Linked DNA regions of Rhinolophus ferrumequinum. The main gene of each other region encodes a partner of the protein of the gene in region 3 in a complex. Links are inferred from orthologs where the notes say so. Each region holds a gene or a part of one and is shown on either strand. Other genes may lie near its edges.

Evidence for each region.
Region 1: SMARCC1 (region 3) and ARID1A share a complex: the UniProt entries of both Homo sapiens proteins name them as parts of the neuron-specific chromatin remodeling complex. The link is inferred for Rhinolophus ferrumequinum from reciprocal best matches to the Homo sapiens genes SMARCC1 and ARID1A.
Region 2: SMARCC1 (region 3) and DPF1 share a complex: the UniProt entries of both Homo sapiens proteins name them as parts of the neuron-specific chromatin remodeling complex. The link is inferred for Rhinolophus ferrumequinum from reciprocal best matches to the Homo sapiens genes SMARCC1 and DPF1.
Region 4: SMARCC1 (region 3) and ARID2 share a complex: the UniProt entries of both Homo sapiens proteins name them as parts of the SWI/SNF-B (PBAF) chromatin remodeling complex. The link is inferred for Rhinolophus ferrumequinum from reciprocal best matches to the Homo sapiens genes SMARCC1 and ARID2.

What each region holds. Positions count from the first base shown.
Region 1 is NC_046292.1:18,273,481-18,280,748, forward strand, and holds the start of ARID1A (AT-rich interactive domain-containing protein 1A), read left to right. Parts: upstream 1-4,267; coding exon 4,268-5,383; intron 5,384-7,268. UniProt on the Homo sapiens protein: Involved in transcriptional activation and repression of select genes by chromatin remodeling (alteration of DNA-nucleosome topology).
Region 2 is NC_046298.1:37,699,844-37,707,351, reverse strand, and holds the start of DPF1 (zinc finger protein neuro-d4), read left to right. Parts: upstream 1-4,508; 5' UTR 4,509-4,528; coding exon 4,529-4,638; intron 4,639-6,030; coding exon 6,031-6,191; intron 6,192-6,278; coding exon 6,279-6,386; intron 6,387-7,508. UniProt on the Homo sapiens protein: May have an important role in developing neurons by participating in regulation of cell survival, possibly as a neurospecific transcription factor. Belongs to the neuron-specific chromatin remodeling complex (nBAF complex).
Region 3 is NC_046300.1:8,038,887-8,046,467, forward strand, and holds the start of SMARCC1 (SWI/SNF complex subunit SMARCC1), read left to right. Parts: upstream 1-4,564; 5' UTR 4,565-4,668; coding exon 4,669-4,863; intron 4,864-7,581. UniProt on the Homo sapiens protein: Involved in transcriptional activation and repression of select genes by chromatin remodeling (alteration of DNA-nucleosome topology).
Region 4 is NC_046293.1:47,892,759-47,900,040, forward strand, and holds the start of ARID2 (AT-rich interactive domain-containing protein 2), read left to right. Parts: upstream 1-4,279; 5' UTR 4,280-4,770; coding exon 4,771-4,862; intron 4,863-4,977; coding exon 4,978-5,071; intron 5,072-6,132; coding exon 6,133-6,230; intron 6,231-7,282. UniProt on the Homo sapiens protein: Involved in transcriptional activation and repression of select genes by chromatin remodeling (alteration of DNA-nucleosome topology). Required for the stability of the SWI/SNF chromatin remodeling complex SWI/SNF-B (PBAF).

The DNA.
Region 1 (7,268 bases), on a different chromosome or scaffold from region 3:
GTTCCTTATTATTCTGAAATGTAAATTCCTCTAAATTGTTTAAAACTATGAGATGATTGGAAAAAGCATCATCTAGACAGGCGGTCGTTGAAAGCCCACTAAGCCTTGATGCCTCTGGGTTGCTCCTTTGAGATTCTAGTTGCCGGGCAAGCACAATTTTACAGCGAAGAGCCTTGGAGCGCCGTTCAGACTCCATTCCATTTTTCTCCGTGGCGATCCAGTTCGTATCTTACAGCTTCCGTTTGGGAGCCGGTAATATAATGAATTGCCTTGACTCTCGCTTCAATCCACTTTCCTCTCTTAATATGCAGCCCAAAGTTTTGCAGCTCGCTGTCAGATGGTAGTGCTAGACTTACACTGCTCCCAAAGCCTCCGCTGGGGCTGTTTCTGAACACGGAGTTGCAAACTTTAAGAAACAGACAGCTCCAGAAAGAAATCCACGCCAGGCTTTGAACTCTGCTCCTGGCTTCCGTCAACTGACATAGTTGCCCTTTTGCTCAAACTCGCAGCTCCAGTTCGCACTAGAGAGAGCTCTGCTGGGTGTCAGCTTTTTTGCCGCGGTGGGGACGCATGTGGGGGCCACAACTTGGCGCTCCACCGAGTCCCCGCGCCTTAGTTCAGAACCAAGGCAAATCCTCACTGGGTCCCTGGGCTTAAAACATCTTCCCCCAAGAGGAGTGGGTAAAGGAAGGAGCCGAGTTCAATCTTTTGTTTGTTGAATTTTGTATTTCGGACACTTAGGGGAAACAAATTGAGAGAGAGGAAGGGCTGTCCACCCTGCAAACGTTTCCCTCTCTTTGCAAACCCTTCAGGCCTGGATTCCACATTTTGCAGTTGACTGCGTGGATTTAACATATGTTGTTCCCTTGTTCTCGAGCCGAATCCATAAAATGAGAGCACATCCTCTGCCATTTTCAGTCAGTTTGTCCTGGCAGCCCTGCCCCCCTCCTTGGCTGCCGCAGCCACGAGTTATATTGCTCGCAGAAACTCCGCCTGATCCTCCGGGCGGGAAATCCAGTCCACGTTTGCCTAGTGCCGTGCGGTCGGGGATGGTGATAAGAACTCTCTTGTGAGGGAGCGAGCGAGACTTTAGTCCGGTTTCCATGTCAACGATTCAGTCCATATTTGCCATCAGGCTGTTGGTGGCAGAGGCGCTTTCGTGAGGGTACGCGCTGTCCTAGTCCTAGTTCTCTAATCTGCGCCGGGATTCCTGCGCTGCCTGGGTGTGGGGTTAAAAGGCAGGGGCCGTAGGGGAGAAAACTCCACGGAGGGAAAGACCCATAGACCCAAACCTAGGGCTCGCTGCTCGAGCCAGCCACGTGCCCAGCTCCGCCCCTCCCCCCCTTTCCCGCTGCCATTGCCCCTAGGGAAAGCTGATGGGCCAGTTTCTAAGAAAGTTCCCCTTCAACTCCGCAGTCCCTGGGATAATGGTGTGGGGCTCTAAATGTAGGGGTGTAAAAGAACAATAAAGGATTTGAGATTTAAAAAATATATAGTGGAAAAGGAGAAATCCCACGTTACCTCCTCCAACCCAGGTGGATAGATTTTTTTGTGCACTTTACCTCATTGTTAAATAAAAATGGTGGCTGTTTTCTAAACAGCTTGCCCACGTGTAGAAAAGGGATTTTGACACTTTGCGAATTTCACAGCCCTTGAAGAAAAGGGATGAGGGCTTCCTCTGGAGAGACCCATTCTGGCTTCCAGATTTTCACTGGGCTCTGGGTTTCCTATTACACTCAAGCTCTGAGGAAAATGGCAGGATAATTGCATGTAAAAAATTCCTCATTTGTGTGCGGGACCCAGGACTGTTTGCCAGCTCAGAGGCAGTTGATTAAATAGCCAAGCTCCATTTATGAGGCAGCCTATAATTTGGCTTCTAGGACCTAATGCATGGGGAGAGTTGTTGCCCCTGAGGACTGAGTGAAACAGGGCACTGGCCCATTCCAGTCAGTCAGGTCCTGGCGTTTGGTTCCTTCCTAGGAGGGCGGGGTGAGCGAACACCATTCTTAGATTGACAGGAAGGTGTTGTCTTATTAGTGTAGGATGCTCTTAAGTGTTTTAGGGATAGGGATGAGTTCAGGTTTTTCGAATTATTCATGGTGACCAGTGGCACAGACAGAACTCCAGGGGCCTGCAGAATCTGGAAATTCTAAGATAATAGTTCTGTGGCCAAGAAGTCTCCATTTGTAAAAGCTGAGGAGAGAAGAGGCCCTGATGGCTAGTGACTACATGGACCTCGGCTTCTTTTTCCTAAGGCAGCCTTAGGCCTGGTGAGGCGCTGGAATCTCCTCTGGCTTTTGTAGCCTGTCACATCAGAGCATTCCAAGTCAGCCTGAGGAGGAAAAGGCTGCTGCTGGGATTTGGTTGGGCCTGTAGATCCGGCGTTTTATATGTAAGCCTCCAGCTCAATCTGCATCTCTTAGAATGTAATGGTAAAACTTTGAAGAATCTTTTCAATGGAGAATAGAAAACAAATTGGGTTGCATCCATTTTCTCAGTGACATGTCAGACTGCCCTTTTTCTTTTAGCCATTCTGTGTAGCCATTCCTCTTCTGCAGTGGTTCCTTCACTCACATTCCTCCATCCCTTATAGCTTCTTCTGTGGTCTGTTTATAGGCTCACAGGTACTGTACTGGGAGACGGGATATTGGTCACTGTGGGCTATGTTCTCTTAGGAGACAAAGATGAGGCTTGGGTTCAGCTAGAAGGCTGTCATATTTCCCAGAGTAGCTTCAGTGGTGAGCATTTTAAGACAGTATTGAGATGACCAGCTTTGATCTCAAATCCATTCTGATAATCAGATCCCATTGTTGGATATGACACAACTTGACTTTTTTTTTTTTTTAAAGGCTTAAAGGCTAAGTAGACAAGGGCAACTTTGGGGACTCTGCTACTTTTTAAAGCCACTCTCCTCTGTCATCTAACTTTAAGTGATGGAGCAGTCCCTTCCCCTTTCTTTCAATTCCGTAAAATGGGGATAATCCGACCTCATGCCCCCAGGGCCTTGTGAGGACCTGTTACTGAGGGCAAGGGAGAGGGAAAACGGAAAGTCTGAACAATAATATGTCATTATGTCATTACATTAGGCTTGCAAAGGGGTTTAAAAGTAAGGTCCACTCTCTCACTCAGCTGGGTCGTTAGAGCGGGTTTGTAAAAGGCTTTGAAGAAGAAAAGTACGGTAGAAGTGCTAAGTAGCAGCCAAGAGACCAGGCCCACTGCCAGAGGGTCAGGCCTGGGCCTGAGGCGGCCGCGATCTCAGGCTGAGCCAATTCTGCAGACGCGAGTAAAGTTCACGCTGCCCGCTCCCCTCGGTGCGGCCTAGAGGAGACCGACCCGGATAGGAACGACGGGAGGAAGGCGGCGCAGGTTCCGGAAAGGCGCAAGCTCCGGGCCGGGTTTTCCCCGAAGCCTTCGGCGGCGGCGCTGCCGAGCGAAAGCGGCAGAGGGCCTGCTGCCGCCGCGGCTGGTTATCTCCCCTCCTCCTTTGTGAGGGGAAGGGAGCGAGTCCGTTCCACGGCCTGCGCCCGCTCCGCGCTCCGTTCCGGGTTTGCCAGGCGGCCGCGACGGCGCTGGGTAAAATGGCAGTGCTGAGCCTCGTGTCGGAGTGAGGGGGACTCGGAGGAGAGTGGGGCGCTCTAGCCGCTCAGTCCGGCCGCTCGCCCGCTCGCCCGCCCGCTGCCGCGCAGCAGCCTCGGTCCGCGTCGCGGCCGGGGAGGGGAGGCAGGGCGCCCGGCCCGCGCTCCGACTCTGACTCCAGGCGCCCGGGTTGCCGCTGCGCGCCCTCCAGCCCGCCCGTCCCGGGTCCCCCTCCCCCCGCTCCCTCCCTCCCTCCCTCCCTCCCCGCCCCCTCCCCCTCGCCTCCCTCCCTCCCTCCTCCTTTCTCCGGCAGCAGAAAGCGGAGAGTCACAGCGGGGCCAGGCCCTGGGGAGCGGAGCCTCCACCGCCCCCCTCATTCCCAGGCAAGGGCTTGGGGGGAATGAGCCGGGAGAGCCGGGTCCCGAGCCTACAGAGCCGGGAGCAGCTGAGCCGCCGGCGCCTCGGCCGCCGCCGCCTCCTCCTCCTCCGCCGCCGCCAGCCCGGAGCCTGAGCCGGCGGGGCGGGGGGGAGAGGAGTGAGCGAGCGAGCGCAGCTCAGCAGCGGAGCCCCGCGAGGCCCGCCCGGGCGGGTGGGGAGGGCAGCCCGGGGGACTCGGCCCCGGGGCGGGGTGGGAGGGGGGGAGAAGACGAAGACAGGGCCGGGTCTCTCCGCGGACGAGACAGCGGGGATCATGGCCGCGCAGGTCGCCCCCGCCGCCGCCAGCAGCCTGGGCAACCCGCCGCCGCCGCCCTCGGAGCTGAAGAAAGCGGAGCAGCAGCAGCGGGAGGAGGCGGGGGGCGAGGCGGCGGCGGCGGCAGCGGTCGAGCGCGGGGAAATGAAGGCAGCCACCGGGCAGGAAAGCGAGGGCCCCGCCGTGGGGCCGCCGCAGCCGCTGGGAAAGGAGCTGCAGGACGGGGCCGAGAGCAATGGGGGTGGCGGCGGCGGGCCCGGCGCGGAGCCGGACCTGAAGAACTCGAACGGGAACGCGGGCCCTAGGCCCGCCCTGAACAATAACCTCACGGAGCCGCCCGGCGGCGGCGGCGGCGGCAGCAGCGATGGGGTGGGGGCGCCTCCTCACTCAGCCGCGGCCGCCTTGCCGCCCCCAGCCTACGGCTTCGGGCAACCCTACGGCCGGAGCCCGTCTGCCGTCGCCGCCGCGGCGGCCGCCGTCTTCCACCAACAACATGGCGGACAACAAAGCCCTGGCCTGGCAGCGCTGCAGAGCGGCGGCGGCGGCGGGGGCCTGGAGCCCTACACGGGGCCCCAGCAGAACTCGCACGACCACGGCTTCCCCAACCACCAGTACAACTCCTACTACCCCAACCGCAGCGCCTACCCCCCGCCCCCCCAGGCCTACGCGCTGAGCTCCCCGAGAGGTGGCACTCCGGGCTCCGGCGCGGCGGCGACCGCCGGCTCCAAGCCGCCTCCCTCCTCCAGCGCCTCCGCCTCCTCGTCGTCTTCGTCCTTCGCTCAGCAGCGCTTCGGGGCCATGGGGGGAGGCGGCCCCTCAGCGGCTGGCGGGGGAACCCCCCAGCCCACCGCCACCCCCACCCTCAACCAACTGCTCACGTCGCCCAGCTCGGCCCGGGGCTACCAGGGCTACCCCGGGGGCGACTACGGCGGCGGGCCCCAGGACGGGGGCGCAGGCAAGGGCCCAGCGGACATGGCCTCGCAGTGCTGGGGGGCTGCTGCTGCGGCGGCGGCGGCGGCAGCTGCCTCGGGAGGGGCCCAACAAAGGAGCCACCACGCGCCCATGAGCCCCGGGAGCAGCGGCGGCGGGGGGCAGCCGCTCGCCCGGACCCCGCAGGTACACTGCTGAATGGGGAGGGGCTGGGGCGAGCGGGGTCCGGGGAGTGGGTGGCGGCTGCGGGGACCAGGCCACAGCCGTGGGCTACCCCCAGTCCGGGGCCCCCACTGCTGGGGAGCTGCCATTGTCTGGCTCTTCTCTCTTAAAATGGCTGCCTGTCTGCCTTCCTTTCCTTCCCTCCTTCAGCCTTTGTGTGGGGCTTTCCCTGAGGTGTCTGCTCCCCTTCTCCCTCTCCCCTGGTCCCTTTGAACTCCGGGGGTCTTCAAGGGGGTGCGGGGCAGAGTGCGGGGAAGGGGCCTGGTCAGGGGTGAGGGGGTGCTGGAGGCTCAGGTTAGGGGTGCAGGCATTGCTAGGAGCTCAGGTGTTAAGTGAACAATTCTTTGCTCACCTGCCGCTCCTCTCTGCCCCCCCTGCCTTCCTCCAGGCCGTCCCCCATCTGTGCTTTTAAGGAGGGGCCCCTCAGACTCGGGGGGACCTCGAGGGAGGGCAGGGGCCTGCTTGGGGGCAGCTAGAGGCCGGCCGCGGTTCACCCAGGGCAGCTTGGGCCACCTCCTGCTTAGTCTCCTTCGGCCCAGTGGCCTGGGCTTCTCCCTGGAAGTGCTGGTAAACAGCTGAGTGATTGGAGTAGTAAGTGCAGATTGCTTTGGTTTGGGATTTGAATTATGGAGGTAAAATCCTTCTGTCAAAGCCAGGAGACAGTTGGTCTTAGGTTGACATCCTATCTGTGATCTGATTGGCTCCCCATCTCCTGCTCTTGGCCATTTATAATTGCCTCTGATGTAATGGTACAACAATCCTGATGAGCTCATAAACTTTTACACTCTGCTTTTCTGCCAGTGATAACCCAAACCATCGCTGCCACTATCTGCCTTTTATTCCAGAGCTGAAATTGGCTGTGACCTTGAGGAGGGAGGTTTAAGCAGCAATACTGTATCAGCAGGAGCAGAGCCCCAGACAGGCTGCCCTTGTTACATTGTGCCTGAAACAAAAGAGGAGGCAGTGGCATTTTGCTTGTACCTTGGATTTATTTTGCTTGTTATGTTTTATGCAGCCTGAAATAGATTCTGTGTTGTCAGAACAGTAGCTGGGTTTTTCTCTACAATGGGTTTGCTGTTTGTTTTGGTTTTGTGACTTTTCTGATGGTATAAATGACTTCTTTGATGGCTCTGAGGATCCGTTTGTCTTGAGTAATTTTGACCCTGTTCACTTTGCAGAATTGAAATTATTTTACTGGATTTTTTATTGAGTGCCAAATGTAGGGTCTTTATGGGAGGAGATAATAGAAAACTTTTTTTTTTTTTTTTTGAGAACTAGAAGCTTTCAGAGAATTTCATGTTAGGTTCAAGAGTTCTGTTTTAAGGAAAGCTGGCCTCATTCTTTGTTTACATGTTGAATCTTAACACTCTTTTGTTAATTGAATTTTGGTAAAGCAGCTCAATTTAAAGGGAAGCTGACATCTTTCATGATCTTGAGAGGGAGTTTATCCTAAAGACTTGGCTTGGTGTTCCTGGAATATCAAAAAGGCTAGTTTTCTATTTTGTCATTTTAGAGCTTTAAAATAGAGGACAACCAATTTTTTTCTTTGCATTTTAAGGTATGTTTCTTTTTTTTTCTATATTGCAAGATAAAAAGATAGGACCTACAGTGATACTTAAAATTTGCTTAGAAATTACAACTTTCAGGTACTTTTTTATGCGTTCTCTTTTATTTTGCGATTTTTCCCTCTTCATGTTCTGTTTACAATGCTTTGATCAGAAATAGTGGGTATTTTATGGAGTCATGTATCTTTGCAAAGAGGAGGAAGAAAGCTCCAAAAGCTCCCTGCATATTCCCCTCCCAGCAGTACTCAGTTTACCTTTGTGGTACTAGGCTCACTTAGGCAGCT
Region 2 (7,508 bases), on a different chromosome or scaffold from region 3:
GCCTGCGGTGCCTGGATGTTGGAGAGCCGGAGCTGGGAATGGAGCACCCTAGGGAGGAGAGAAGGATGCTCTCGGGCGAGCCTAACCCCTCGCTGTATCCCCAGCAGCCAATGGGCGCACGGTACTCCCGACGCCCCCTGGGACCTGTAGTCCGGGCAGGGGCGCCCTCGGGCTCCGCTGCTCGCCCCTAGACTCCAGGTCCCGTCGTGCGCCGGGAGGCGCGGGGATTGGCCCAGCCCCGCCCCCGGCCCGCCCCGCTCCGCTCGCGCCGCAGCCCTAAGAATGAATGAAATCGTAGCGCGCTGGGCGGCCGAGCGGGCGGCGCAGGCCGGGCTGGGCCCGCGCGCGGCGGCAGCGGCGCCCCGGGCCGGAGGTGGCCCAGCCGAGCGGGCGATGGCCACCGCCATTCAGAACCCGCTCAAGTCGTGAGTGTCCCCGCTGTCCACGTCCCTCCACCCGCCCCGCCCTTCCCCCCGCCCTTGCTGGGGAAGGGGATGCACTGCGTTGATGGTAGTTGAATGCCCCCTCCGGAGCGCCCCCACACCCCTAAGGCGCCCGCCAACCCCTGTCTCCCCATGGAGTTGGGGGCGGGAACCCTTCTAGGGTCGCGGGGGCGCCTCTTCTTTGTCGCTGTCAGTGAAGGAATGTGGTGCGGGTTGGGGGATGGCAGAGGCCGTTTCCCCACCCAGAGTGGGGGTAGGGGCTTCCCTCTCCTCCTCCTCCATCTCTCCTGCTCCGTGTCTCTCGGGGCGCCGGGCCTTCCCCAGCGTGAGGCTGGGAGTACGCACGCCTGAGTCCAGACCTCAGTGTCTGGGGACTCCACCACCCTTGCCCCTCATTGAAACACCTTTCTCTCCTCTTCCCTGCCTCTTTTTCCCCGGACCTCGGTCCACGCGGCCGCAGGGTGGGAGCTGAGACGTCGGGGGTCCCTGTTGTCTCCTCTTTTTTCCTCCTGGGTCTTCAGGTCCTAGAAGCCCCGATGCCCCCGTCAGCTTAGACTGTGGAATCTCTCTCTCTTCCCCGCTCATACACATCTAACTCGAGCATCTCTCATCCCCTTGGGTACCAGATGCCTCGGGAGAAGGTGCTGGGAGCGCCTTTAGTCTCCGGGGATTCCCTCTCTCCCTGTTCGCGTTCCTTCCTCCGTGCGTTAGCTTCCTCCCTGGGCCCAGTGTCTGGGAACCCGGACACCTTCGTGCCTAGCTCCTTCCCATCTCTCCCCTCTCCTTGCCATCCTCATTCTTTCCATCTCTCTCTCCCTCTCTCTCTCTCTCCATCTCCATCTCCATCTCCATCTCTATTTCTTTCTCCCTTGTCGGGATCCCGTACACCCAGGTCCCAGCGCTCCCCACCCCCCTTCCCCTGGCGGTGACAGCGTGCTCGGAGTGACAGGCGCGCGGCCGCTCCCGCCCTCCCTCCCCTGCTGGCGAGCGCGCACTCCCTTCCCCCTTCTTCCCGGCTTGAGGGAGAAGACCAGGGGCAAGTGCCCGCGGCGCCGCACAAAGGGGCCGGGCGACCTCCCCCACCTTTCCCCCCGACCCGGTGCGCCTGCTGCCTTGACCTTGAGCAACATGTGCTGGGGGCTTGAGGAGAGGGGAGGGGCACGGGAGCACCCCCCACTCTAATGCCCCCAGTTGTTTCTGGTTTCTGGCGGGGAGAAGTTGGGAAAGGAGGGTGGCTGGTGGCTTTGCGGTGAGCAAAAGAGGACTTGGACAGCCGGTGTGGGGCTGGGGTCAGTGTGAGATGGTGTGTGATGGAGACACTTTTCTGCCTCCCTCTCATTCTAAGTCGTACTCACAGACAGATGTCTTCCTATGAGGACGCCATGCCCTCCAGCTGGCTGGGACTGGATTCCTGTGCCAGTTGGTGGATCTATCGGCATCCAGGCCTCTTCACTCTGACCCTGGCCTAGACCTCTAGGAGGAGGTGAGGGACAACCCATTGCAGGGACCTGGAGGCCAGAGTTAGCATTGGGGTGGAAGTGCCAGCACCCTTCCTTCTTTGCTCTCACTTTTCGAGGGTTCTGCAGAGGTGAGGATAGAGACTAGCTCCTGAAAGAATGTGCAAGTCTATTCCCCTTGGGAGTGGGAGGCTGGGGGTGCAGCCCTTAGGAATTCTGCCTGCCTGCATTCAAATCCCAGCTTGAGCCATGAATCCCCCCTCCCCCCACTTCAGTGTTACCATCTGTGTATTGGGGAATCATAACAGTTCTTATTACCTCTTGGGGCTGTTTGATCTTTGTAGAGCACTTAGTACAGAGCCTGACCCTGACTAAATGTAGTGATTAGTAGTAGTAGTGTCAATACTGATTTCATTTGTGGTCCAGTTTCCCACAGGGCATTGGGGGGTGGGGATAGGATTGTTTGGGCAGGGGAGAGAACTGGGAGTTCAAGTGTGGGAGAGGGGTCAGTGAAGGTGAGTGAAAGTGACTGACGGGGTAGGGAAAGGGAGGGAGACTCCTCTCTACCATGTTTCCCCGAAAATAAAAGCTAGCCGGACCATCAGCTCTAATGCGTCTTTTGGAGCAAAAATTAATATAAGACCCGGTCTTATTTTACTATGACTGGGTCAATATAATATAATATAATGTGATATAATATAATACTGGGTCTTATATTAATTTTTGCTCCAAAAGACGCATTACAGCTGATGGTCCGTCTAGGTCTTATTTTCAGGGAAACAGGGTAAGTGTCAGCCTGGGTCTGTGGGTGGACAAGGGCCTCCAGGAGGTGATGGAGTGTCTACACTCAGGCTCCAAAACGATGAGAGAGTTTGGGGGTGGGGCAGTAGTGAGCCAGGATTTCTGAGGCTAGGGACGTAGGGAGCAAGTGTTAGCGGGTGTGTTGAGGGATTGGAGGGTGGTGGTGGCAGGTGAGAGAGGAAGGTGGCAAGGGTACCCTCTGAGCTGAGCTGACAGGTCAGGGCCACGGCTTACTGTGGATGACGTATGGAATGGCTGTTATAGGGGCCTGGAGGCCATAGTGAGCATGCGGCTGCCACAATCCCTGACTTACTCCCCTTGCCACCTCCTTTGGGCCAGATGTGAAGCAGAGACCCCTCCCTCAAGGCCTTACCTCCTTGGGGGGTGATGGGGAGAGTGTGGAAGGGGTCTAAGACTAGAGGTGTTTGTGTGTATGGCTATGGGAGGCCTGAGGGGATCTCTCACCAGGGTTAGGTGAGGGAATCAAACAGAAGGGGTGAAGGCTGGTATGCCTCTTGTGTCTGCTGGAGAGCCCCCTGGTGGACAGGACGTTGGTAGGTGTTTTCATTTATGCGAGGCTCAAACCTGAACATAAAGTTTGGACTAGGAGTGCTGTGGGTGTGTGCATAGAGACTGAGCAAGTGTGTGTGACCGGGTGAATCAGCTCACTCTCTGGGTATCTCTTAGGGTGGAGTCAGTGTGGATGACAGTGGGAGAGTGGGAGAGAGAAGGTGGTAAGGCCCACTTGGGGATAGGCACCTGGGGGAGTGAATCCTTCCCTGTCACACCTTCAAACAGCCTGTTTTGGGAGGCTGTGGGGCATGTAACTTCACCTCTCTGTGCCTCAGAGTCCTCATCTGGAAAACGGGAGTAATAATATCATCACCCTGGAGGGTCATTAATCCCTGTAAAGCACTTAGAACTGTGCCCAGCACATGGTGGGTGTTCAGTATATTTATTCATTCATTCAACAAATATTTATTGGGCATTTACTATGTGCCAGGCATTATTCTTTCTAATGGTAACAATATCACCATTTTACATCTTAGTACATATCAGATCCTCTTTGTGGGATGAATGAATTTATTGAGCACCTACTACCTGCCAGGTACCTTTTAAAACACTTCACTTATGTCATATAATCCTTACAACATCCAATGAGGCACCACCCTCATTTTGCAGATGAGAAAACCGAGGCCCAGGAAGGTTAAATTATTTGCCCAAGGTCACATGGCTACCAAGTAGCAGAGCCAGTATTTGAACCTAGAGGAATATGGCTACAGCTCCTAACTAGCACTGCTGCTGTCAGGGCTGCGAAAGGTTTGAGTAGGGCAGGCGGGGGGTCTCTGTGAGAGTGGGACAGGATAGGGTTCTCCGGAGCTAGGAGTGACTGGAGGGTGGGGAGGGGGCGGTATTAGTGAGTCCAGCGTCTGCACGAGCCGCGGATGTTGGTGGGACGTTTGTGTAGGCATCTGTAAAATGTCTGAGTCTCCTGGCTCTGAAGTGTGTGTGTATGTGAGTGTGTGAGGTGTGGGAGTGGAGTGTGCTTGAGTGGGCAGCAGTGAGTATACATGTGAATATGTGTGTAAACTGCCGTGTGGGTGTGCGAGTCCGATGTGCGTGTACGCCGTGAGACCAGATGAGTGTATGAGTGAGCGTGTGTGAGTGACTGTGCGTGCTGCCCGGCCCCACCTCTGCACCCTCTTACCCGCGGGGTCCCGCGATCTCCCAGGCCTGGACTACGACTCCCAGAATGGCCCAGGCGGGCCCGCCCCGCCGCCGTGATTGGCTGTGGCCCTCTTGCTCCCGCCCCCCGGGAATGAATGGATGGGCGGCCTCCGCGCCCGCCCGTGCGCTGGGAGGACCGACCCGGCGGGGACCTGCTGGGGGCAGGACCCGGGGAGCAAGATGGCCACGGTCATCCCCGGCCCCCTGAGGTGCTGCAGGCAGGCGGCAGGCTGGGGAGGGCATGCGGGCGGGTCTGCGCGAGCGTGTGTGTGTGGCAGCTGGGGGTGGGGCCGATGGGTGTCTGGGGGGCTGTCACCGTGGGCCCGACTGCGCGGGGGTGCGAGTGTGTGACTATGGGTCTCTGACAAGAACGGGGTCCGATGCGCTGATCTTGGAGGAGCGGAGTGTGGGGGGAACTCAGAGTCCTCTTCGGGTCCTGTTCGAGGCAGGGGTCAGGTCCCACCCTGCGACTACCCGGGTTGGGGAGAGGGTGAAATGGCGGGGGGGTGGGCGGGCGGGGTGCGCGGACCTTGGTAAACTTGAGTGAAGCCCACACTACCTTTGTCTTGGGATGTGGAGTGTGTGTCACTTGTTTGTTTTCTGGTTTTTCTGGATATGTGCATGGAGATGTGTTTCATTTCTTTTATTCCACACTAGGTATTGGGTATTTGGGTCTTGGAGTGTGTGTACATGTCCTTTGAAACTGTGCATCATTTGTGTTCTGTGTCTTTGGATATGTAGGTATGCATCTATCTATGTGTAAATTTTTGTGTGAATATGGGTGGATTTGTCTGTTTTTATGTTGTATATGTGTGTGTCTTTGTGTGTTTGAATATATGGTATTTTAGATGTTGGCTTCTATATTGTGTATCTTTGTGAATGTGTGTATCCTGTGTGAATCTGATTTCTTTGTAGTGTGTGTGTGTATATGTGAGATTTGTCTGTGTTGTCTGTGGATATGTGTGTAAATGCATATGTGGGTAGTTTGTTTTAACATTTCTTTTAACATTTGTGTATGTGTGTTTGGATGCATAAGTGTATGTGTTTGGATGCATGAGTGTGTGTGTGTGTGTGTGTGGTGTGATCTGTTTGCATATTGTGTGTCTTTGTGTGGGTGATTTGTTTATGTTGTGTATCTTTGGATATGGGATGTGTATTTGTACATGGATATATGTGTGATCTGTCTGTTTCTATACTGTGTGACGGGATATTTGTGTTTTTCAGTAGATATGTGTGTGTGCACATATGTGAGACTTGTCTGTTTCTCCTTTGTGAGTCTTGGGATATGTTTCTCTTTGTGTGTGAATCCTATGTGATTATGTGTGATTTGTGTTGTGTGTTTGGATATGTGCATATATGGATAGGTCCCACTGTGTTTTTGTTTCTATATTGTGTATGGCTACTCGTTGGCTTACTTGAGTCTCAGGTGGGGGGTTCCTGGGTCCAGGAGCCAGGAGCGACCAGAAGGGACAGGTGAGGTTGGCAGAGTCGGCCCACCCGTTCCGGATGGCTGAGCCGGGGGAGGGGTACTGGGCGCCCTGGCGCGCCTGCCCTTGCTGACAGCAGCCCGCCCGCTCACTGCCTCTCATCGCGCCTCGCAGCCTAGGCGAGGACTTCTACCGCGAGGCCATCGAGCACTGCCGCAGCTACAACGCGCGCCTGTGCGCCGAGCGCAGCCTGCGCCTGCCTTTCCTCGACTCGCAGACTGGCGTGGCCCAGAACAACTGCTACATCTGGATGGAGAAGACCCACCGCGGGCCAGGTACCCGCCAGGAGGGCGGGGGCGGGGCGGGGCGGCGGCGTGGCAGCCGCGTTCTTACTGCTCTTCTCACCGCCCTGCTCACTCCAGGTTTGGCTCCAGGACAGATCTACACATACCCTGCCCGCTGTTGGAGAAAGAAACGGCGACTCAACATTCTGGAGGACCCCAGACTCCGGCCCTGCGAGTACAAGATCGGTGGGTGGAGCTGCCTGTGCCTGGGGGAGCCCCCATGAGTGTCCCCAGCACACTCTAAGTGTGTAGCGATGCCAGCGTGTGTCTGAGCATTCGCCTTATCTCCCTCCTAGAGAGTGTGTGAGTGGCTGGCTGTGTGTCTCCTGGTGTGTGCTTGGGTGTAGTCCAGAGTTTCCCGTCTTCCCTGAGTGACTGAGCTTGGGACGGTATGGTCTCCTATGTGGGCCCAGGTGTATTTGAGAGCGGACTGGTGTCTGTTATGTGTGTTTAAGTGTATCCAGTCTTTGTATCTCTTCCCTTGTGAGCTGGGATGTATCAGAGAGTCTGGCTCTGTTTCTTCCTGTGGGTGACCGAGTGTGTCTTGATGTGTTGGAGTGTCTGGGTATAACTCTTGCCATTGTAATAGAGTGTATCTAAGTGTCTGAGCCTCTTTCCAGGTGTTTCCAAGTGTATTAGAAGGTTTATTTTCTCGTGTGTGTTTGGTCTGTCAGGATATCTGGCTGTTCCTGAGTGTGTCTGGGTATAGCAGGGTGTCCGGGTGCCTCTTCTGTTGAGCGCCCAGATGCTTCGAACATCTGGGAGGTTATCTTCTCCTAGTGTCTGGTGTATTTCTGCTCATGTGTGTTGGTCCACCAGAGTGTCTGACCTTATCACTTCTTGAATGTGTCCAGTGCTATCAGAGTCACTGGCTATTTTTCTTCCCTTGTCCAGGTGTACCCAAGGTTCTGTGTGGGTCCAGGTGAATTAGAATGTCTACCTGGGTGTATCTGATTGCTTCAGAGGGACTGTGTGGATCTTCCCTGTGTATCCATCTGAGTGATTTTCTCTAGTTATGTCTATCTCCCCCATGTGTATCCAGGTGTATGGTAGGGTCTGGCTGTGTCTTCCCCATGTGGGTATGGCTGTCTGATGGTCAAACAGTCTCTTTCTGAGCATCCCTGGGTGTATCCAAGGGTCTGCATGAGTCTCCTCCACGTGTCTGGATGCATCTGAGTGGGTATGTCTCTTCCTTTGTCTGACTATCTCAGATGATCTGTCTGTATCTCCCGTGTGTATGTTCATGTGTATCCTGTTTGACTGTCTGTCTCTCTCCATATTCGTCCAGGTGTAAGTGAGGGTCTCGCT
Region 3 (7,581 bases):
TAGAAATTCAATTGATACAGGCATACCTGATTTTATTGTACTTCACTTTGTTGTTCCCACAGATGTTGTGTTTTTTTACAAATTGAAGGCAAGACCCTCCACCAGCAAAAAGATTAAGTCTTGCTTTATTGTGATACTCACTTTATTGCAGCGTTCTAGAACTGAACCTGCAATATCTCTGAAGTGTGCCTGTATTTGTATACTGATCTTTTATCTTCCAACCTTGTTGAACTCATTTATTAGTTTTAATGGGATTTTTTAGTGGCTTGCTTAGGATTTTACATATAAAGGTCATGTCATCTGCAAATAGAGGTCATTTTACGTCTTACATTCCACTTTGAATGCCTTTTATTTTTTTATTTATTTTTTCCTACTTGCCCTGCCTAGAACCTCCAGTACACTGCTGGATAGAAGTGGTAAGAGCAGATACCTTTGTTCCTAATGTTAGGGGAAAAGCATTCAGTCTTTCACCATTAAGCATGATATTAGTGATGGAGTTTTCATTGATGCCCAGGAGTTCTCAATGTCAGGTTGAGGAAGTTCCTTTCTATTTCAAATTTGTTGTGTTTTTATCATGAAAAGTATTGGATTTTGTCAAACTTTTTTTTGTGTTTTTTTCCCTGCAGCTATTGAGATGGTCGTGATTTCTGTGTTTTATTCTATTGCTATGAAGTGAAATTCAAATCAAATGGAAATAGTATTAGAGAAGAAACAGCTGACCATAGGAATGTTGACACTGATTATTCTTTGAGAGACTCAAGATACACAGCCAGAGGAACTTAGTGAAGCCAAACATCCACATAAATGAGGAAACTGTGAAAAAAAGTGATGAAGACATCTCAGAGGAGATGATACCTGTAAAAAGATTCACATTACAAGTGCAAAGTACAAAATGTTGGAAGCTGATCCAAATTTAGAAAGGGGTATGAGAATTTGACAAGCCCAAACCAAAAAAGCCTTGCTCGTAAGTTATATAATGAGACATTCAAACTATTGTTAATTTTTTCACCAAAATATACCCACATTAATTCTCAATTTTCTAATGCTTTAAATTATAATGTACTAAATAAATTTAATTTTACTGTGTCCATTTCCTTATATAATGATAACCGATTGGGTTTTTAATGTTTTGATTAAAAAAATTTAAAGGCCATGGAATAATTGTAATTTTCCCCATTGATTATTAAGTTTACTTTGTACAGTTTGTACTTGGACAGTAATTTTGATGGTATTGCACTCCTATGCTAAGAGATAGAATGTATTTTATTGTGGCTAAGAGATAAGGTGTATTTTATCATGGCCAACAAATTATTACATATTTAGACTTCAGTAGGTTTTAGAGGGACGTCTTCTTGCTTTTGCTATTCCCCGACTATCTCTTCTCAAATAACTCAGTCTTAAAGCCACTAGGTAGAGTAGAGCAAGGTAGATGTAAGCATATTAGGATGGGTTAGCATTCCCGTGTAGGAGCCAGTCCCTACCTGGGAGGGTAGCCCAGCATGTAGATCCGTTACAATAGGTGAACTGTTAATAATAAGTAAATATAGTAAGGATAATAGCAGCCAGATTTTTCATTGTTAGAGAAGGAAGTTACATTTAGTTAAGTTTGCATTTAGTCAAATTTGGAGCCATTTGGGTTTGTCTGATAAAAATAAATGGAAATTTAAAGGAGGAATGGGATATTTACATACTTTCAAAATACCTCCCCAGAAAATACCAATTAATTACAGAGGCATAAATGATAACTTCACAGTAGAGAAGCCTGGCAATTACTCTCTTAACCAAGTCATCAGAGTAATGGAAGAAATGAAATCATACAAATATATGGGGATGGAAGGAGAACTGACTCTGATTGGTGAACACACAATGGGATTTATAGATGATGTAATTCAGAATTGTACACCTGAAATCTATGTAACTTTACTAACAATTGTCACCCCAATAAACTTTAATTAAAAAATTAAAAAAAAAAATCATGAGCCACTTGATTGTATGAAATGAAAAGAACACAGTATGAAGAATATCAGCCAAACTCAAACTGAGGAACATTCTACAAAATAACTGGCTTGTAATCTTCAAAGTTGTCAATGCTGTGAAAGTTAAAGCCTAGGGACCAGTCCAGATGGAAAGAGACTTGAAACTTGACCTAATGCAATGCATGATTCTGATCTGGAATCTTTGCTGCAAAGGAGGTTCTAGGAGCAACAAGAAAAACTTGAATGGGGTCTGAGGACAGTTTTAATGTTACTGTGATTATTTTGTAAAAGAATATACTTGTCTGTAGGAAACTTGAGTGATGGGCATGATATTAGCAATATACTGTCATAGTTCAAGAACAGAAAAAGTTCTTTGTACTATACTTGCAACTTTTTGTAAGTTTGAGATTTAAAAATAAAAACTTTTAAAAAATGATGTAACCATTTTATTTAAAATGTCCATTTTTATAATGTGCTCTTCAATGATTTAATTTTTGATGAAAATTTTTAGATATTTTTCTAATATAAAAGGTGTATGGTTTTCCAAATTATTTTAGAAGTTATTTGAGCATGAAGTTGGAAGAACCACTGCCCTGGAAGAACCAACTTCCCTATGACTCCAGCAAATGAAAGAGCTTTCAGAACTACTCCAATGCGTTTTCTCTGCTGTACTCACATGCTATTACTAGAAAACACATTGTGCTTGAAAAGAGAGGGAAGTAGTACTCCAGGGTGTAATTCCTGGGTTCAAAAACCTGACTCTAATATGTACTTGTTAGCCAGGTACTTAACCTCTCTCTGCCTCAATATCCTAATCTGTGGGAATGCAGGTGTACTTAGCACAAAGCACCACACAGAAATGCACCGTAAACCCCAGCTATGATCATTTCTAAAGTCTGAGCCCTTAGAGGGCATGATCCATGTCTTACTCATATGTTAATCTCATTGCTTCTCATTCCTAGACTATTTATCAGGTCATCTTTTCTCCAGTGTTTTTTCCTCTGATCTATCATTCACTGTTGCAATTGTTATCTTCCTAATCTGTAAATCTGATCATGTCATTCTCTGTTCAAGTTGGTTTCCCAATTTTTACAGGATAAAGTCAAAATTCACTGCAACAAGCGAAATCTCTGTTTCCATCCCATGTTTAAGGAGAGTTCCACCAAGCATGCTTTCACACTTTAATGGCTTTGTTCTAGTTGTTTCCATGCATCTGAAATGTTCCCATCACATTCTATTCATTCTTAAAAGTTGGTCTCGGGCAGCCAGATGGCTCAGTTGGTTAGAGCACGACCTCTGAATAATGGTGCCCGGTTCGATTCCCACATGGACCAGTGAGCTGTGCCGTCAACAACTAGATTGAAGACAACAGCTGCTGCTGAGTTTCTGGAGGGGCCGCCAGATGGCTCAGTTGGCTCAGCTGGTTAGAGCGCAGGCTCTCAATGATGAGGTGGCGGGTTCAATTCCCACATGGGACAGTGGGCTGTGCCTTCTGCAACTAAAGATTGAAAATGGCAACTGGACTTAAGAGCTGAGATGTGTCCTCCACAACTAGATTGCCCTCCACAACTAGATTGAAGGACGACGACTTCGAGCTGATGGGACCTGGAGAAACTGTTCTCCAATATTCCCCCCCCCCAAAAAAAAGTTGGTCTCAAAAACTCACCAGGCTTTCTCAGTCACCTTCTGTTGTAGGGTTTGTAGGGTCATATAGTGTTACGTTCATAAATCCATAATGGCCAATCATACTTTGTTAATAATGTAAAACCTTTCCACCTCTCTCTGTAGATCATTAATGCATTCATCAAATATTCATTGAACAATATTTATTAGATAACAGGCTCTGTTCCCAAGTCAAGACTAGATTTTCCTATAATTTATGTAGACGATTATTAAGAAAAATACCAAGTGGCGGTGACTGCTACGCAGAGAATGTCAATTGAGTATGATGAGTTGTTCAAGTGTATGGTCAGGGATCGCTTTTCTGAAGTATCTTTACGCTATGAATTTGAAAGCGCCTAAGTGACAATGAGAGGGGAAATGTCGCAGGTCGCAGGAAGAGCTGCTGGTCGTGGGAACAGCTGGTGCAAGAGGCAGGAATAAACTGGTGTGGCAGGCACCCAAAGAGCCCCTGGTGGTCGTCCCCTGGGCTGGTTGTGTGCAAAGGCTGACGCGGCAACTTAAGTGTGTAGAGGGTCTGAGAGCCACAGCTGGTGCAGGTACGTATTCCTGCGAGTGGGTTCCTCCGCCAGCATGCGATACCCTGAATGGGCTTTCCCTTCGAAACTTCTCACACCAGCCCTTTCCTCTCCGGCGGTGGCAAACGATGACACAGAACCTTCACGCAGTTGCTGACCGAATAAGGATCCGACAAAGGAATCACGAAAGATCTAGTCGCGCAGGGGCCGAGACTGGGGAGCAGACGAGAGCAGCCAGCATAGACTGGCGGAAGAAGTCGGAGGAGGTCCGAACCCGAAGGCCCCTGGCGCGAATGCTGCGCATGCGTATGCGCGTGCAGACGTCAGTTAGGGCGCCGGTCCGAAAAAGGGCGGGGCGAGCCATCCGCACCGGAAGGGGGTTGGCTGGGCGGGGCCGGGAGGCGGCGGTGGCGGCTACGCGCGCGCGCGGGTGCGAACGGGGAACGCCGCGAGGGCCGGGGCGGGCCGGGCTGTGGGCACGACGGACGGCGACGATGGCCGCGGCAGCGGGCGGCGGCGGGCCGGGGGCAGCGGCAGGAGCCGCTGGTGCGGGAGGCGCGGCGGCGGCTGCGGGCCTGGCGGTTTATCGGCGGAAGGACGGGGGCCCGGCCAGCAAGTTTTGGGAAAGCCCGGAGACGGTGTCCCAGCTGGATTCGGTGCGGGTCTGGCTGGGCAAGCACTACAAGAAGGTGGGTTCGCGCGCCCGTGGGAGCCGGGAGGCCACGCGACGGAGGCCGGGGGCGGCTACTGGCCTCGCGGACCTCGGGCTGCCCCTCCCCCCCGCGCGCCACGAGGGACAACAAAGGCAGGCGCCGGGCTCGCCACGCCCCCGCGGTCAGCTCTCGGGGCCCGCGGGCGCGGGGGTCTCCCCCGAACCCTCAGGGCCCTGCTCTTTGGCGCTCAAGCATCCCGGGCGAAGCCCCTGTTCCCCGAACACGAACAGTCGAGCTCAGCAGCCCGGAGGGTGTGAATCTCTTTTGTTAGCTGCCCTATTAGGTGTGTGAACAATGATTGTTAAAAACAGCTTGAACCAGTGTGTAAAAGCAGCTTCGTTTTGTTTAGAGACTAGTCTTCCAAGTCAAGTGAGGTAACTAAGGTCTTACTACCTGTTGTTGATTTGCTAGAGAAGGAACATGGACGATTGTACTCGGAAGGTAATAGGTTAATGTAAGGAATTACAGTATTGATGGGAACTCGCGTTAAAAATTGACTGGTTTTACGATATAGTAGTTTTAGTTATGTATAGTAGGAGTAAAAGAGTTAACGTTCACTTGTACTTGAGGGTTTCTCAGTGAGGCCTTCCCTGAGAGCCCCATGTGTATTAGATCACCCCACTTCATGTCATCTTTATTTTCTTCGTACCACTTTTTATTTTTTTCATTTCATTCTGTTTCTCCTTCCTTTGGGATTTAAGTTCCACCGAGTCGATGGTATTGAAAGTTGTGACTTAACCCCTTGATTATAACAAATGTTTTTTAACTTCCCCTTTATGTAAATACTTAGGACTGACTCCTTTACACGGTGAAATGAAGCACACAGCTAGAAATACTCCTTCTGCCCCCAAGTTTCCGTAACACCCTTTTCAGTTCTGTATTTCCCTATTGAAGACCATAGCACTGGGGCAAGGAGCTTATCAGGCCTGTCCAATATACAATGTGTCCTTGAACATGGTTGGTACTCATTGCCTCGCCCTTAGTAGTTGCTTAGTAAATACTAGTTGAATGAATGAAAAGATAGTACTCTAGGAAGCTGTTCATTTGGGGTCTACAGCAGAGTGAAGCCTGTTGGCTTTGAGAAGTCCTTATGCACGAACAAGGGATCTTGGGTTCGGTTGACATTACACTGTGGTACTTCCAGAAATGACGATTTCTTATCTGAAGTTTTAGGAAATGAGAGAGAATATATATTATTATTCACAGTATATTTTTAGATGTTTTGATTATTATTTCCCCCTGAAGTTTTGGAGTCACATTTGGGATTGTAGATTGATTTTTCTCTTCTGTATGTAAGTATGTAAGTAAGAGTATTGTTCTCTCTTGTACAGTTAAATTGGTCACTTTTTTGTGTAGGCAATAGAGCTTCTGGAAGTGGCTAAGGTAATTGAACATATATGTAGTCGATATCTGTACCTATACATATAAAATGAGAGTATTATATTTTATCCTGTTTCCTTTAGCTAATGCTTTGGATCTTAATTTCAGTGTCCCTTAACGTAGTTATTTTTTCCCACAGTCTGGATTTTTTTCCTCCAGTTTTACTGAGTTACAATTGACATATAATATTGTATTACTTTATCAAAGGAGCTTTAACAAAGAAAGGTACTCAGGAGTAATATTTTTTTGGATTATCCCTTTGTGACTCCCATAGGACTGTTTTACTAAATCAAATATCAAGGAAGGGAGAAGAAAAAGGGAAATAATTTCTGCTTCTCCAAAGTCCGTGTCCATCTGTTGGATCCCAATCTTAAGAGAGCAGCTTGAGGCTTAGATAACCAGCAGGTTAATGTTGGTTCAGTGTCCCTGAGGCCTTAAGACAAAGTCAAAGTTAGGTTTGATTTCTCAGGGTTTCATAAAGCCAGACTGTATTTCTTGGGTCTACTCAGATTCAGAATTCAATCTGACAGCCGGAATCCTATCAGTTTCTGAGAGTGTTGTTGGAGTGGTGAAAGTATTAACAAGACTGTTCTTTGCTGCTTTTGTACACACTGTATCTCTACTTGTACACGTTGATGGGTTTTAACTAAACTTTTCTATTGCATTTAATACTGAAGTTTCAGATTGATCAATCTCAGCAAATAGATGAAATAAGCATGACATCGGTAGTCCCCTTTTATTGATGGGTCTGTCCGTGCAGTCAAGTGAACTGAGCATCTACCATATCCAGGCACTTAAAACGTAACTCACTGAAATCCTCACAACAGTCCTGAATGATAGACATTATTTACTTTATATTACACATGAAAGGAACCTGAGGCTCCCGATTTAAGTAACTTCTCTAAGATTGCTGGTAGAGGTGGCAGATTTGGGATTCAGTGAATCCTGCCTGGCTCCAAACCCGTTTTCTTTTTTGCTACACATCATTTCTCTTTGAGGAACTCACAATGTGGAAAAGATAGACATAGACACCTACCCAGGTGATTGCAAATTAGAAGAGAACTTCGTTGTATTTTCATTTTCTAAGTGCCCTTAGTAGATGTTCAGTAAATATTTGTTTAATGAATGAAAAGGTGAACTAGTTTAGGAACCTCTTCATTTAGGTTTTGTAAATACGTTTGGCTTAGCAACACGGAAGGGAGGTGAGTACTTTTTGGTTGGAATGAATTTCTGGTCTGCCAAAGAAGTCCAGAGGAGGGGACCACTTTAGATAAGAGGAATCCGAAGCACAGGGAGGTTAACTGTTTGCCTGAG
Region 4 (7,282 bases), on a different chromosome or scaffold from region 3:
AAGAAACAAATGAAAAATCCCAAAAGCTTATCCAAGATGCTTTCCCAAATCATTCAGAAAGTTAGCCTACATAAAAAAAATACAGCAATAGACACAGGCAAAGAGCAACAAGTAGTGAAAGCATTCTTACCTTTCTTCTGAAGAGCATCTTTAAAAATATATGTAAATTTAAGTTCAATATCCTTGTTCAACCAATTCTTTTAAAACTTAGCGCAACCTAAAATAAACTTCAAAAATTTCTCCAATGAATTGACGTATTAATTCCTCAATTAAGTTTTTTCAGCTGTTGTAATCATATACCTGACATGCTTGTTTTGAAATTTGGTAAAGCTTTCTTTTTAAGTTTACTTGAATGAATCGAGGGAATTTTAAACATCACAACTTCTTGGTTATATATTAAAACTGATAAGGATCAGAGATTTATATAAAATAATAGAAACCTCTAATTAGGGTGTTCGGGGTTTGCAGTTACTATTAAAAACAACACTTTGCATTTTCACACCAAAAAGGCTTGGCCAACATTTCTCATCAGAACAGTAAATTATACAAATATAGTTTCAACAATTTCCAGTTATTGGTAATTTTTATAGGGATGTTTTCCATTAATGCTTGAAAACTACAAAGTACATTTCATTTTTTATATCTTATTAAATTAGAGAATATCGTAAAACTGTCGGACATCTCTAACATTTCTTTTCCAGGATCCACCTGCTCTATGCTGCCCACTATAGGAAACGCAATATGGTACAAAGAAATGTTACACTACCGGTATGCACTAAGGTTACTTTTAGTGCAATCCCATAAAAAATATTCTCTGGGTACTTTGAGTGCTAAGATAGGGTATTCTTGCAAGAGATAGGCTGATTAGTGGTAACCAAATTTATTAAATATAAAGAACATCAGTAGCAACAGACATGATCAGTAACTGTATCTTGGTAATTCACACACCAGGAGTAGCAATCTGGGTGTGGCAAAGGATGGGGCATGGAACTTTGTGATTGAGGCGCAAACTGCATAAAGATGCAGTTGTGCGTCAGAAAAAAAATATGAAGGTCAAAATCAACTTAAACACCTCAAAAAAATCATATAAAAATACAAATGATTGCTGCAACTGAAAATAACATTTGAAATAAATTATTCGTGTAACGCGTATTTAAGTTTCAGCAGAGGAATCTCCTTTTTCCTTAAACCTTTCTATTCCTCTCACAAGCAAATACCGTTAATATATTAAGCTTACTTTTGCCTTTCATTTTTCTAGTATTGGGGAAGTAGAACCATGTAATAATCTTACAAATATCAGGTTTTTTTCTTTGACTAGAGCATATTCAAAGTGTTATTAATTTAAATTCTAGCCATCAGACATCTTTCGGAATCCATTTTGTAGATGACAGCTTCTTCTGCAGAAAAGGAATTTTTTTTCAGAGTCCATTCTCCAGTTACATTTTAAATTTTTAAAGAAAGGCATTAAAACGTTACTATCACACTCCAGGTCTTTAGCCTTGACACTTGTACTGAAAAGCAAAACACACTATTGTATATACATGTGCGTATATACACAAAAATAAACTAATAGGAAGCAGTCAGTAGCTTAAAAGTGGCTACCTCCCCTTGAAAAACAAAAATATAAAATGTCACCCCTCCATTCTGCCCTTTGAATGAGAGACAAGACAACCAGATTTGCCCACTGCAGAGTGGGATACCAGAAAGGACGTTTCAACGTCTAACCTGAGACATTGTTAACATAGACATTCTAGGTCCCGACTCGTATGACTTAAATTTCAGTGCATGTGGCTTCGTTCCCAATCCTGCCCCATCGACACCATCCAGGGCCCGGGGCCGGACCGCGCGACCACCCGGGGCGACGGGACTGCCGGAATCCGCGCGTACCGCCCGCTCCGGGCAACACGGCTCCCCGGCTCCCGGCCGACCGCGAGTTCCCGGAGCAGTGGCCTCCGGAGATCCTAAACCCACGACTCAGACTAGGGTTCCCGACAGGGCCATAGACTGTGACATTTAAAAACTACTAAAAAAGTCTCGCTGTACAAGTGGCGCGACAGAGAACCTTGCTGCCGTACCGCGTCGCCCGGTTCCTGTCCCCTCGGAGCGGGCCGGGAGGCCCAGGCGACCGTCCGCAATATCGCACTCAGCTCCCGAGAGCGTAGAAGAGCAACCAAAGCCACCAAAGACGCCGCGGCAAGTCCCCGGAAAAGTCAGCCGCAGCTTTCTCTTCTCTCCTTAGTTACAATTACCCCCGGGGCTTCTGGTGTTTCCTTCGAAAAAAATTTAAAAAGTAAAAGAGGTGTTAGAAATCGCTGACAATTTCTGTCGAAGGAGATCCCCTCGGCTCCATCACTTAAGCAGGATTTCCAAAGTCGGATGCATCCTCAGCGGAGGTATTCCATGTTGACAGATCTCTCGCCTCCCACAAAATGGGGCCGAGGAGGCGGCCGCTGTCTCCTCTATGGGCGCCGCCATTTTGTGAGGCGGCGGCGGCGCGGCGGCAGGAGCCCGGGGTGTGTGTAATGGTTGAATAGAATGACCCCCTCTAGGGAATCCCCGGCGCTGACAGTTACGTAAGGGGCTGTGCACAAGTGCGGCGTTTAGGGAATCCGCACAGCCCAGGCCACGCAGCTCTGCGGCCCACATCTCCACCACCCCTAAGAGGACCGGTTGGGGAAAGGACAAATGACCAGGTCTCTCCCTCCTACCCCGCCCCCCTCGCCTCCGTGCGGCCCGGCATCTCCACTCCCCCCGGACGGGTCTCCGCCCCTCACAGGCTTCCGAGACATTCACTGGCCCTTGGGTGTCTGGAACCTCCTAGCCACAGCCTTATTCCGACCCCACTTAAAAGATAAACTTTACTTGAGAAATAAATCCGTTTCCTAGAGTGAGCGCCGGAAGCAGACTGGACTATGTTACATAATTTTTCTCACCACCAAATAAATGTTCCCATTGGAACCACCACCTGAAATAATAACCCATGCAGACATTTACTAGCCTGTGACCTTGGATTAGTCAGTGACTTTGCCCATGGTGGCAAAATGGGAATAATAATGTTTCACATATTGTGAAGCATAATTAACACTTGTAGCAAAGGGCCCACTCCAGTACCCCTTGCAAACTTAGGAGGTAGTATTTGTTGAGATGTTGAATCTCCCCTTTTAAGCAGCCTTTTTTTAACCTTCAAAAATATCTAAACGAGGATCGCATTTAAGACATTTGAGAGAAAGGAAAAACATTTTCAATATTTAATATTTAAGCCCATCTATCTTTAAGATACTTAATATAAAAAATATAAACGTTAATCATTATTGTCAAAGTTCAAAAGATTGCTTCCCAATCAGTTTAATTACAGTTTGCATAACTCAGCATAGAATAATCTAGTTTAAGACCAAAGGCAAGATGAATTAAGAGCATTACTCTATTTCCACAGAACTAGGACAGTTCACATTGTATTTAATTTATAGTTTGCTAAAGTTAGTTTGTGGATAATTCGTGGAAAATGTGCTAACCAGGCCCCAAAACACCAGTACAAGGCTCAGAAAAGCCGATTCATTTACACCTTAAAAAAAAAAAGGGTAACAAATTGACTTTATTCCAATCTGTGAACGATGCGTAGCGTGAGGAGCTGCCCCTCTGAGCTTCCTTTCCCTCCCGAGCGCCACACCGGTTCTGTCGAGCGGGCGGGGGACTCCCAGGCAGCCCTTCCAACAGCCGGGCCAAGGACGCGAACATTGCCTCCACCCCTAACCCTGGAACAACCGGTAGTGGCCGTTTCCCCGCACCGCCCCCCTTTCCGCCGGCTTTGTGTGCGTGTGAAATGTGCGGCACATTGCAGATGAACCCTAAACCCGGAGCCGAGTCTATTGTTCCCCGCGAGGAGCTGCCGGGGCGGTGTGGAGCCAGGCGCAGTGCCGCGGCCGGCCCTCGGGGGTCGCTGCGCGGCGCTGGCAGCCCGGCCGTGGCGGCGGCGCTGGCGGCAGCAGAGAGGGAGGCTGGCGGGGAGGGAAGCGGGCAGGCGGCGCGCAGCGGCTCGGCTGCCGCCGGTGCCTTCTGCCCGGGGACGCCCCGGCCGAGGCCGCGCGTGAATGTGTGCGAGGGCCCCGCGGAGCTGCGGCCGGAATACACGCTGTCACCCCGCTTTCCACAAACCACCACACAGACCTCCCCCTCCCCACCCCCAGCCCCGCCTGCCCCAGCCCCGCCGCCGCCGCCGCCGCTGCCGCCGCGGCCGCCGAAACTCCAGGGCCTCCGGTCGCCCCGGCCCCTCACCGTCGGCTCGCCTTTCCCCTCGCTCGCTCGCTCGCTCGCGCGCCCCCGGCAGCAGCACCATGTTGAATCGCGTCCCCAGGCCGAGCCGCCTGGATCGGCGGCGCTGAGAGGCGGGCGAGAGCCGGGCCGCGGGGAGGGAGGGAAGGAAGGGGTGGGGGCCGCGCTCGCCCCGCGGCTTCGCGCGGATCCGGCAGTCGCCTGCCCCTCTAGTTTCGCTCCGATTTCTTTAAACTTTTTTAGAAATTCCCCTCCCTCCTTCCCTCCTCTCCCCCTGGCCTCCTGCTCCCTCCTTCCCCTCCTCCTCCTCCTCCTCCCCCTCCCTCCCTCCCTCCCTGCGCCGCCGCCGCCGCCGCCGCCGCCGCCACCGCCGGCCCATGACTGAGCCCCGCCGCCGCCGGCCGAGGAATGGGCTCCGGGCTCTGGTAGGAAGCGCAGGGAGCGGGGGGCGCTTTTAAAACACCGATCTGGGTTTTTTTTAAAACCTCCTTTGAAAAAATAATGGCAAACTCGACGGGGAAGGCGCCTCCGGACGAGCGGAGAAAGGGACTCGCTTTCCTGGACGAGCTGCGGCAGTTCCACCACAGCAGAGGGTGAGAGCAGAACCGGGGGGGCAGCGCCGGGGCGAGCCGGGGCGAACGGGGCTCTCCCGTCCGGGCCGGGCGTGGGGTCCCGGCTGACAAGTGCGGGGCTTTCTCTTTCCCGCAGGTCGCCTTTTAAAAAAATCCCTGCGGTGGGTGGGAAGGAGCTGGATCTTCACGGTCTCTACACCAGAGTCACTACTTTAGGCGGATTCGCGAAGGTGAGTGGAAGTTTTAATTTGTATTTCCCTCTCGCTGGCCTCCTCCAAAAAGTCTCCTTTGACCCCGGAGTGGGCGCTCGGGGCTAGGGGGGTGGCTCGCGGGGGTAAAAGGCGTTCTTTTCGCTCGCAGCCGGTGGCACGGAGGCGGACGGCGGCGGGGCTGTTTTTGGCCTGGTGGCTCGCGTGCGCGCGGCGGGCGCGGGGCTCGGGCGGGCGGGCGGCCCGGCGCCGGCTCGCGCCCTGCCGGCTGCCCCGCCGGCCCGGCGGGGTCTGAGCGCCGCGGCGGGGAGTGCGGGCGTGCGGGGCGCCCGCCGAAGCCCCGCGTCCGCCCCGTGCCCGCGCCCGCCCGCTCGCTCGCGAGTCAGTTCTGCCGCCGCTGCCGCTCTAGCACAGGCGGAGACACAGACTCTGAGAGCAGTTTTCGTGCAACTCAAAATTAGCGCGGGCAGGTTTAACATCGATAATCGGCTGCGAAATGATCCCGGCAGCCGGGGGCACAGCCTCGGCCCCGTCGCCCTCGGTTTATACAGCTAACAAAAGAAACCAGGACCTGTCTCCAAATAGCCATCTTAGGCTTCAAGGCTAGGCAGAAGCTGTAGGCCTCAAAGAAGGGCCTATGGAGATGGATAGATCTGGGAGAGGGATGTGAATCGGCCCCGGCCCCGGCCCCCCCAGAACCTGCGGACGTCGCTGTCCGGAGCAGTATTGATCCTTTTGAACTTTTTTTTTTTTTTTTTTAGTGTAAACCGACCGCGTTGAGATTTAAAAGGGGGCGACAGAGGGACTTGCGATTGGTTATTGTCCGGGCTTCAAAAACAAAACAAACCCACCAGACACCCCCCACCCCCCAAACAAAACAAGTGCCATTAAATACAGGGTTCCTGGGTGAAAACACAGTGATTCAAGCAGCTCTTGCTTAGTAACTCTTACGGATCGATCCGAAACACCCATTGATGCCTGGGTATCTACAGATCTCTGTAGAATGGGTATTTATTTCATAGTTAGGTTAGAGTTTTCTTGGATTGTGCATTTTCAGACAAGCGTGGCTGTGTTTTTAACAGGTTTCTGAGAAGAATCAGTGGGGAGAAATTGTTGAAGAGTTCAACTTTCCCAGAAGTTGTTCTAACGCTGCCTTTGCTTTAAAACAGTATTACTTGCGGTGAGTAGTAGTGACTCTTGAACAGTATTTGGAAATAAGGGACTTATGGGGAGATTTGTTTTTAGGAAACACACACACACACACACACAAACACGCGCGCGCGTGCGCGCGCACACACACACAAACACACACACACACACAAAACAAACCTTGCATACCAGTTTCTAAACTTGTTCATTTCAATCTGGGAAACATTAAATATCTATAAAGTGAGGTTGTAGGATCGTGAAAGTTTTCCCCACCTATTTTTGTATTGTTTACATTTTTCATACAGAATTATTACAGGTGACACCCCTCCCCCCATCTTGATAAACATTCTTTTGTGACATTGTTATTGATTGCAGAGGAGCAGAAAGATGATGCTTAGTAAAAGAGTTAAGATAGTTAATGAAACTTTGTATCCCCTGGGAATTTTTTTCTTTGTTTTGGAAACTCCTTTGCCTTTTTAAATACTGACTTTAAGATTTTAGAAAAATGAAACCTTTTGTGTGGAACCGTGTCACTGAGTAGTTTTTCAGTAGAATATTTCTATATAGCATAACATAACATGTTGGTGCTTTAATGACTAGGATTGTTTTTAGAATATTTTTTTTTTGAATTAGTAAAAAATGTTCAAAATGATTATTATATATTTAGGAAAATTAGGGATACTATAAAAGGAAATACTATGATTTGGATTTTCTTTCATTTTCCCCACCCCCCCCTTTTTTTTTACTTTTTTTAAACCAAGTAAGTTTCTTATTCAGTTGGTATGTGATACAATTTAGATGATACATTTTGTGATTTAGCTTTATGTTTTTCTCCCAGGCATATTTTTATACTGTAATTTATTATGAGGTCATCTTTTATTTTTAATGTTTACTTACCCATAAAGGGTCCTTAGTTGGTGATTGTTATTTAAAACTAAAATAATGCTCTTCATATTTATTATTTTTTAATAATGATATTATGGGATGGTCGTTTTTAGATAACGTGGCTTCTGCATCATTTGAGTTTGGCATTTATTGCTCCAAATGCAATATCAAAGTAGATATTCTGTGTTATGTCTAGCA